2 linked regions of the Zea mays genome follow. The protein of the gene in region 1 binds, or shares a complex with, the protein of each later gene. Links are inferred from orthologs where the notes say so. Each region holds a gene or a part of one and is shown on either strand. Other genes may lie near its edges.

Region 1 (4,786 bases):
CTTCCCTGTTAGTGCGTTTAAGTAACTTAATAAGTCGAGGTGTTGTTTGATCCACAAATTGTAATGTAAATGGCAACGATAATGATTAACATTCGAGTGACAACGACAATAAGTTTGAATAGACTGTTATCCATTTACAGTGTAATATCTAATTACGATTGGATTTAAACAAACATAATTTAACGTTATCGGTTATCGATCATATGTTATAATTATGTGAACCAAACGACAACCGAATGTTTTTCACTTGCTTGCTGCCAAGGACAAGTGGTATGATCAGTATTTGAGAGAATAAAATGATGATTTCCCTAATATCACATATAGTTCCGTGTTAATGTGTCACAAAATCTGTGGTCAGATATAGGTCTGCCATGTCCTTATCTATGTCTGGATTGAGACCTGAAGACTTCTTTATAGATGGTTATTCTGAATATGATAGCTGCATGCCCTTTATCCTCTTCTTTTATTTTCCTATTATATACCCCCTTTTCCCATCAGTTTAGGTTCCGAAAACCAAAATGAGCCGAGCAAAGAACAGCTCAATACAGCGAGACTAAGGGCCTGTTTGGTTCACTACCTCAGTTGCCACACTTTGCCTAACTTTTCTGCCTAAGGTTAGTTATTCAATTCGAACGACTAACCTTAGGCAAAGTGTGGCACATTTAGCTACAAACCAAACAGGCTCTAAGTATGGAAACATGCATTTGAGTCCCTGTCTTGTCGCTCTCAATTTTGGTATAACATCATGTATTTATAACTGATGAGACCATCTGTTTCTATAATTTGTGGGTTCGATGACATTATAGGGAAGCCTACAAATAATAATAGCAAAATTGATAATGTTCGCCAGGGGACGAGGCGTTCGGGTCTTCGGGAGCTTCACGGACGCGTATCTCGGCAAGCCCAGCAGGTACTTCAGGTTCGTGTACTGCAACGACATGGTGCCGAGGGTGCCATACGACGACAACGCGCTTCAGTTCAAGCACTTCTGCCTCTACTTCGACAGCCTCTACAAAGGATAACGCGTAGTAACACCGTTGTATTTATTTATGACTTCTTCACTAACTTCCTATATATGCTTATATTTGGACAGAAAATTGAATTGGTCGTTATATATTTTTTAATATATATATATATATATATATATATATATATATATATATATATATATATATATATATATATATATATTATTTTCTACTTTTGATAGTAACTTTTGATAGCACCATGCTGCTGAGTTACTTCCTCCATACGTTCAGACATTCCCATGGCTGGAAAACGCAAATTACATTCAAACGATTACTTGCATCATGTGGGACATAAATCTCATCTTTCTGTCCAGTGTTTTTGGAAGAGCAAAAGCTACTGCACCCACAGCGTTACTCAAATGTAGAATTAACAAATGATTGATACCGTAAGCCATTTACCTCATAGCTGTCGGCCAACCATAGGCGATTGAGATAACTAAGGTTGGTTAAAAGCTGGGTCCTCCAACATCTTCATCCGGGTAAGCAAGCTCTGTTTATTGCAAAAGAATGCTGCAAGCTTCCAGGATTTAACTGCGGTTGGAAATGTTCTGGGTAGATCCAGGATACCAATTTGAACAACCAAGAAAATAGGAACTAGCAGAAAGGCTTCTTGAAACATATAGCACAATATTCATGCAGTAAAAGCCTTGTGGTGATTAACTGCACCTATAGCTTTTCTTCCTGGGCATATAAAAGTGTAGTTACCATCAGCATTGTAAATAGTTTCTCGAGTCAGTATGGGCACAGAGAAATCTTCCCAGCTATTGCTGTCAAGACACAGTAGTGATAAACAAGGGGATCTGTGTCAGCTCTTAAGTTATATATGCAGTTCTCCAATGCCCAGAAATGATTTCTCCAGAGGGTAGTCAATGCTGAACTCAACCAAGACCAATCAAGATCGCACATACTCTACAAGTAACTGGAAGAGCAATCAGCACCTCTCCAATAAATAGTTTGCCTTCTGTCTCTACCCCTAACCGATCTAGTAAGCATAGTTCCACTAACAGGTTTGCAAAGACCAACATCGATCACTGAAGTGACTTTTCTTTTCTCGTTTTCCTCATCAAAATGCATGTCAAACAGCATAGCCAGGCACATAACTTGGTGAGTCAATATATAATCCTCATATGATAGAGGTATGCTTCGAAGGATGTGAAGATTTACCTGCACAGCATGATAGTGAGCTTTAAGAGCTACCCTCAGAAATGCACTAAATAAAACATGTTACACGATATGTTAGCACAAACCTCAGCTTCCATTGCACGAAGATCATTGTGCCACTTCAAAATTTCAGACTTTTCTGAGAGCAAACGTAATCTGAAAAGGGGAGGTCTAAGAGGATACTCCATACTTATCTTAACCTGTGATAAGTCTTAATGTCAGAAGCAAGAGCATGGAGAGATGCATGAAGGCTTAGAACAAATAGTGATGACATAGTTTACCTTGGCTTCCAGCATGACTTTTAGACCATTCTTCATAGTTTTACTCAGGACCATGGTGAATTCCTTGGAAGCATACTCCTCCCAGAATCTGTCTCTAATCGGGCTAGTAGCTTTTTCAGTTTCGTCAAGAATGCAGGGCTGGTCCTCCAACTCGCTGTCGCTATACATCAAGAGATCAAGATCGTCCTCATTTCTACCAAAACTTCGTGAGATGCTTAGCTTAGATGGTGTTGCACTCTTTGATATAAGAGATAAGCCTCTAGAATGGCTCCGGATCTCAGCTGACACCTCAGGTTGCAAAATTGTAGAACCATTTGGCTCATTCTCAGCAGGAATAACAACTGGAAGCTCCCCATCCTCCCTGATACTCTCAGTTTCTTCCCAGTTTGTCACAGATCTCTCTACATCACTGTCAACATTGCTTGCAGCACCACTTAGCATCAAAATAGAACGAGATGACTCAGGATAACTTGTCAATGACCAACTATGTAGACTGCACAGTGGGTTGCGTGATGCCCATGGTGCATTCTTATGTTCTATTCGAGGCCACTTCAGCTTTGTCAAATAATCAAGTTGCCACCTGTAATCAAAGAGACTCGAAAACTTCAAAGGGATGCTACCAATCAAACAGGCCATGTATATAACAGTCATGAATAACATTATAATGAAGGTCGCCAATAATTAGCTTTGAATCAATATGTAGAGAACATATGAAGAAGATATAAATGGTATGTTTCACAATTTCTGCCTGGTAAATGATTCATAGTATTGCCATAACTCAGAATGACATGTGCAATGAAGCAAAAGCATCATTAGCTCAAAATCGTCAGTCAAATTACACGGTCACTCTCAGGCTAATCTGCCATCCGGTTTTTTTCATCGATGTCCCAAACAGCAAAAAACATAGACCAGTGACTCACATAAGAGCCATCTGTGCAACTTTCCGCAAGCGGATCCTCTGCAAAATAGTCTGTGCACGGTTCTGCTGACGGTACAGAGCAAGCCCAGATGACAAATCAGCAGTGTTTAATGCTCTGCTAGAATCATCCCCAACAGATGGAGGCACTTCAGGCAAAAAGTCGATACCACCTAAATGTTGTGCCCACTTGTATGGCCTTGAATCCTTGTCGCTGAAGTTTGGAACCTCCCCAACATAAATCTTAGCCATCTGAGAAAATTGACAAGTCACTATTTCAGCTGACGTAAATGAGAGGCCCCAAGAAGATACTAGATACAGATGTAGTAACAAAACATATCCCTGCTAAAATCACATTAAAGGCCTGTGAGGCTGAAATAAACCAAAAACAGGTAGGTACATAAACAAACACCAAAACTTCCATAAGGATGGTGTAACTAGCAATCAAAACCATCTGCTTCGAATTAAATTACATACCTGGTGAGGCAGATCTAAACCAGTGTCATCTGGAAATAGGTTGGACAAGATATTACTGTCCAGACCCTCTGAATCTTCAATTCCGACACAAACAACATTCAACTTTGCCAAGTATTCAAACCTCAGGGTGATGAGTTTACGGCGTTTGCTACCAGAATCTTCAGTATCATATACATGAAGTATAATTTTAAGTGGGTGAAGTTGATAGGCCACTGCTGGATTATTAGCTTCCTTCACCACATTCTTTTTGGATCTTGATCTTCTTCTCTGAGCATCTTCTTCATCATCAATCACATCATCATCCATTCTGTTGTCGCCACTTGAAAGAGTGCCTGCTACAAGATACATATGAGACACACTAATTTCCAAGCCTGCCATGAAGCTTTAAGAACAGAAGATCCAGCAATGGACAAAAGATTACTTATCTCTAGACTCTGGTTTAAAAAGATGAATAATTAAGCAACTATGCACTACAAGAATGCTGTTATCAGTTAGGAATATTAAAATAGACCACAACCTACAGGAAAAGATTGCTATGCAGCAACACTAAACACAAGCTGTTTGGTTTACGTTAAATGTCCCAAAGCACCAAGCCACCAACCTCAACACGGTAACCTAAAGAAAGAATTTATAGAGACTGTACCATCAATCATAGGTTCTTATGAGGACATCATTGATTCTCTACATAAAAACAAGAATAGAGAAACACAGAACAGATAAACACAACTTTGCAAGGACACATAGCTGTGACATATTCCCTACATCTTGTGTTCACAGGCGCTTAAACAATTTTCACCAGGACCTCACAGCCGCAAAAACGCTTCAGTTTCAAGCAGTTGCCAGCTTGCATGCCACACAATATAACTGCATGCATGTGTCGCCATGCTTATTGCAACACGCATGCTCCCACAATGACCAGATTC
Region 2 (5,158 bases), on another chromosome or scaffold:
CCTACGTTCATACCCAATTCCGCTTGCCTATTCTCGCTGTCCAGACTGACAACGACAAAGAGTTCGACTCCTATGCTATGTGCACCTTCTTTGCCGCTCATGGCACACAACTTCGCCTCTCCTGTCCCTACACATCCCAACAGAATGGGAAAGCCGAACGCATACTACGCACTATCAACAATTGCCTGCGTACCCTCCTTCTTCATTGTGCAGCTCCTTTAGCGTTCTGGGCCGAGGCACTCTCCACTGCCACGTTTCTCCTCAATCGGCGTCCATGCCGCGCTACTGGCTCCACAACTCCCCACCAGCTCCTTTTCGGCACGCCGCCATCCTACGACGACCTGCGTGTCTTCGGGTGTTGGTTGTTCAGGAACAAAGGTGTCGGAGTCAGAGGAGGAAGAATGGCCGTCCATGGCGTGTGGAAGAGGGGCAGAGGAGGGATCGAGAGGTTGAAGAAAGTGAGAGCAGCGGTGAGCTGAAGTCACTGGGGCCTGGTGAATGATACCATGAAAGAGGTGAATTGGATCAACGCATAACTTGTATTAATCTCAAGTGATCTATTTATACACGTACAGAAGGCGGTGGCCGAACCTAACGGATCACAGCTGATCGGCCATGCACCTAGAGAATCGGCAGAGGCCGTTACATGAACAAGAGACTCGGTCCTAGCTGTTACAACTGGATAGACTCGTTGACACTTCTTATATGGAATACCGGGAGGGCGGTCTTTCCCTCCCCGGCCGAGTTTTTTAAATGACACGGTAGGACAAGTTAAAAGACCAGTGGTGCATTTCTCTCCAGCCAAAAAGAAGTGCTGGAAAACTCCAAGTCTCCAATACATTCGAAGGGTGATAATTGAAGGTGTTCGGTAGGTTAAAAGAACCATGGGTTCATGAGGTTCAAGATTTTGGTGATACAGTACAATCAACCATTTAGATTATAGCCAAGATTATCAGCAATACTTAACACACTTTGCAGTTCAGTTTTTGATTAATCCGTTTAATAGACAAGGTTACTAGGAACTGAGCCGATCTCAGTTGGTGCGCAAGGTGCAGGTTCATGTCCTCTTTAACTTTCAATTTGGGTGTCCATTTCTTCGTACTGGCAATGCCACATAGTTCATATCAGGTCTTTTTTGGGGGGTTAGGGTAGGGGATTTTTTTTTACATACGAGATTAACTAAGGTAAATCAGCTGGCCAACAAAATAGCCATTTAGCCAAGCTGAAATGTGGGAACAACAGCAAATATAATTTATAAACTTCAAAGGGTGGGCACAGCAGAACAACTGAATCTAACCTTCGATAGTCTGCGAAGAAGTTGGTTGCAAGTCCTTAGCATAACTAGTTTGCCACGTCCAAAAAGTTCTTGCTACAAACAACCCAAAACGATAATCAGTCAACAACGTTACAAGCATGCATCTTCTCTATTTAACCAGAACTAACCAAACGAAATAGGGATCAAAATTACCTTCCCCAATACATCTTGCTGGCTCTCAATATACCCAAAGATATCTTTGCAGTCTTTGATTGTTGACATTTCAGTTAGGTCTTCTAACAGCTGGAATACCATACCACCTTCAACATGCCCTCTTTCGCAAAGGTAAAGCACAATATCTATCATGGAAGAGCATTGGTTTCTCAGAACAGAAAATAATACTACACATGCACCAAATAGTGCTCAGAAGGTGATGGCATAAGTCCTTAGATAGGAACAGATTCGAACATAGAATGTTGGAAGAAGTGTAACTGACCAAGAAGGCGAGTTATCAGGCAGTTACTTTCTCCGCTATCCAAAGAATTCCCGTACTGCATAATCTTTTTATCCGATTGGACCGCAGATGACTAAGAATAAAAAATATAAAACAGAATCAGCAATCAATTTTGGTTCCTAAGATGGCAAATGAACTATACACCTGCTGACCTGCACTTTTCATATAAAACAGAATCAGCAATCAATGTAATTTTCTAGGACTGAAATAAAAAAAATACAGCCACGTCTTCCGTTTTATTTTAGAAATCGTCATTAAAACTCTGCTACTCTGAAACATAGTATTCCTAACGATGCAGTGACCAGAACAATGCACGCGCCAACAACACTCCCTAACCACCTTATCATCAAGTGAGATCAAAGAACAGTGTAGCCACATGGAAAGTTACCACAAGCTCCTGCAGCAAAGTTCGAAGAGCATTTTCCAAGGACTGATTCTCCTCTAGAACCAACACGGTTTCCTTCTGTGAAATGAGATATGTGTGTCAAATCAGATGATTAACTGAACTAAAAGACAAGTCGAATCAGATAGGTATTACCCAAAACACAAGCAAATAAAATAGAGGAAAATAATAACATGAACCACTGACGGTTCATCATCAAATCAAGACTCACAAGCATGCCAGATTCAACGTACATACCTGAGGTTTAATTGCTTCCTGAACCGTCTGAAGGGAAAATGTTTCCGGGGGTTCGTTCCTAGACAACGCGCTCCTGAAAACTCCCTGAAAAGAGCAAAGGCCACATTTCACCAAGCGTACACGTGTGGTAGCATGGAGAAACAACTCCCCTAAATTTCCAATGTTCCTTCTCCATCCTCTCACACAACCCCTAATTAGGCCGCTACCAACGGTTTTTCCAACGCCTCTATGGAAGTTCCATGGTGATTTTGCGATCGAAAGTTCCTTTCAAAAAAAAAATTTGCGATCGAAAGTCGAAACAGAAAGAAACGTGATGCATGAAACAAATTGCAACCGTGTGGAGGCACTGGATGGGAGTCCACCAGCACTAGCACTAGCACTAGCACAGTACCACTCGCGGGAAATGGACGAAGACGGGACCCTTCGTGCCACCCAAATCAGGGACAAAGTTTCAAGTTTCTACTATGACTGATTGACCGCGCTAGGGTTCATGAACAGAGTGGGAGGGAGTTTTAGCTCACGATGATGCGGTCGCGGTCGGCGTGGCTGGAGACAGCGGCGGTGGGTGGAGGGGAGGGAGCCGGCCGGTCCTTCGACAGGAGGATACGGAGGCCAGCGTTCGACACCGGAGGCGGCGAGGGCTCGGCCATGGTGGCGTGCGCGGTAAGGCTTACCCGGTTGAGTCTGGGCGATCTACCAGGCGCCTGGAGAGGGTCAGCCTTTGACGCGGTGCCGAACACAAGATAACAGCACTGGGCAAGCTGCGGCGGCGAAAATAGGCTACGATACGAGCACGGAGGGAGGGGAGAGGCTCGCCGTCGCAGAGCAGAAGGAACAGATGCGCCGTGCGCGGCGGCAGACTGGCGAGCCGTCGAGGAGCTCGAGCTGAGGAATGAGGAAGGAGAAACACAAGACAGATGGACCGCGAACCTGGGCTGTGCATGGGCTGCGACCCATAACGGATGTCAAGTGTGAGAGTCCATGTCCATCACGCAAGGAAACAGTACAGACCAAATACTACCTTCCCCGTTGGGCATTTTTTTATTTCTTTTGTTTTTTAAAATCTATATCTATATCTATACACCCATCAGTTTAAACGTTGTAAAATTCACACAACCAAATCACCCTGTTGGCGCCGATCTGGATGCCAACCACTGAAACGAACCACCTGCGCGGTGTGCTCTCTACGGAGGCGCGAACGGTCCGCGGCACAGGGCACAAGAGCGGATCCTCCTATGCAGGCTTTCGGATGTGTCCGCGCCTAGGGCCGGACGGTCCGCAGTGGTGGAGAGGGTCTTCATCTCCGTGGAGAATCCTAGAACTCGCCACGGGAGAGATCCCATCGAGGGGGAGAGTTCCAAGGCGTGCTCTGGGTCGGCAGGCCGCCTGGTGCTCCTCTAATCGGCGTAGAGTCAAAGAAGAGGTTGTTGTGGAAGACTAAACTAGATCTAAACCTAAGGCAAAATTACTCCTACTCCTAGGAATTAGAAGAATGATGCAAATAAGGTAATTGATAAGTAGATTTGATTGGATCGATTGTGAGAGGTTCAATCGGTTGTACCCCTTCATCCAGATAAAAGGTGGAGGTCTAGACCTGTTACAAGTCGGTCATCAAGTTATTCCTACATGCTTTGCTAACAAATCCCGCTAGAAATTCGGAACCCTATCTGATTCTGCGTACGTGTAGACCGTCTGTGTCGCCACCGTGGATAGTTCGGACCGCGGACCATCCGGCCCTAGGGCGGACGGTCCGGGTGTCATTTTTGCTATTCAACATATGCCCCCTTCCTTTTGGTGAAGGTTGACGAACCAAAAGCATATGCACTAAGCCTGATGCAAGTCACCGGCTCTTCGACCTAATAGGGTGATCATTCAATATAACTCTAATGTATAAAGGACGTTTCAGATTGCATCTCTCTCGGCCATGACCATCCGATCAATGGATCAAAAGGTATGGAATGGAGGAGCTCCCAGCCTGAATAGGCAAAGGACTATGTATGTACCATGGGTTCATCGTCACAGGATAACATATCAACGATGAGTAGGCGGGTGGAAAGTATCCTGACATCACTAGAGATGGATGAATAGGCAATGATTGTTGCGCCGCCTTTTGGGTCGTTTTATTCGACCGTTATGTTTTAGCGGATGACTAGGGTTTCTTTGTTGGCCGATCGCGTAGAACACCCTTCTTGCTAGCGTATTTGGATAGCAATTGATTAAATTAGAGTCGGTTTTGACCAGCCGACCATGTGCGTTACATGTGGTTTGCCCTTGCATCCCCTTTGCTTTTTGTGGAGGCTGACACCTCTGGCCATGGGCGGACTATCCGACTGAGTCAGCCGGACCGTCTGCATGAGCACCGGGTCGTCCGCGCGCAGGTGACGGACAGTCTGCAATGTTCGAGTCAGGGAGCTTTACTCGAGTGCTCGATTGAACCAGCCCCTGGTGCCTCCATACTTGTTAGTATTTCTATCCAGAGATTTCCGAGCAATCCCTTCTTGTGATATATTCGACGTGCGAGGATCGCCAATGACGACGTTTTTGCATTTGCCTTTATCGACCACTTCCGGCCGAACCAATACCTTTTTGCTTGCTAGCTCTATTATATTGATAGCAAATGATTACGTGTCCACTTGCAACTAATGAAAACTCAATCGACCCTCATTTACGGCCGATTGTATCTTTCGACGAAAAACATTACAATCATTGGTGGCATGGGAAAAAGAATTATGCCACATATAGTAATCAC

What was found.
Region 2: THO complex subunit 5B-like (region 1) and THO complex subunit 1-like share a complex: the UniProt entries of both Arabidopsis thaliana proteins name them as parts of the THO complex. The link is inferred for Zea mays from reciprocal best matches to the Arabidopsis thaliana genes THO5 and THO1.

Annotation. Positions count from the first base shown.
Region 1 is NC_050100.1:218,468,962-218,473,747, reverse strand, and holds the end of THO complex subunit 5B-like, read right to left. Parts: intron 4,199-4,786; coding exon of another isoform or gene 4,196-4,198; coding exon 3,864-4,195; intron 3,729-3,863; coding exon of another isoform or gene 3,639-3,728; coding exon 3,391-3,638; intron 3,051-3,390; coding exon 2,471-3,050; intron 2,390-2,470; coding exon 2,276-2,389; intron 2,193-2,275; coding exon 1,938-2,192; 3' UTR 1,219-1,937; downstream 1-1,218. UniProt on the Arabidopsis thaliana protein: Acts as a component of the THO subcomplex of the TREX complex which is thought to couple mRNA transcription, processing and nuclear export.
Region 2 is NC_050096.1:2,948,821-2,953,978, reverse strand, and holds the start of THO complex subunit 1-like, read right to left. Parts: upstream 3,327-5,158; 5' UTR 3,060-3,326; coding exon 2,931-3,059; intron 2,494-2,930; coding exon 2,410-2,493; intron 2,233-2,409; coding exon 2,158-2,232; intron 1,843-2,157; coding exon 1,752-1,842; intron 1,615-1,751; coding exon 1,469-1,614; intron 1,370-1,468; coding exon 1,298-1,369; intron 1-1,297. UniProt on the Arabidopsis thaliana protein: Acts as a component of the THO subcomplex of the TREX complex which is thought to couple mRNA transcription, processing and nuclear export. Contributes to the integrity of the endogenous trans-acting small interfering RNA (ta-siRNA) pathway.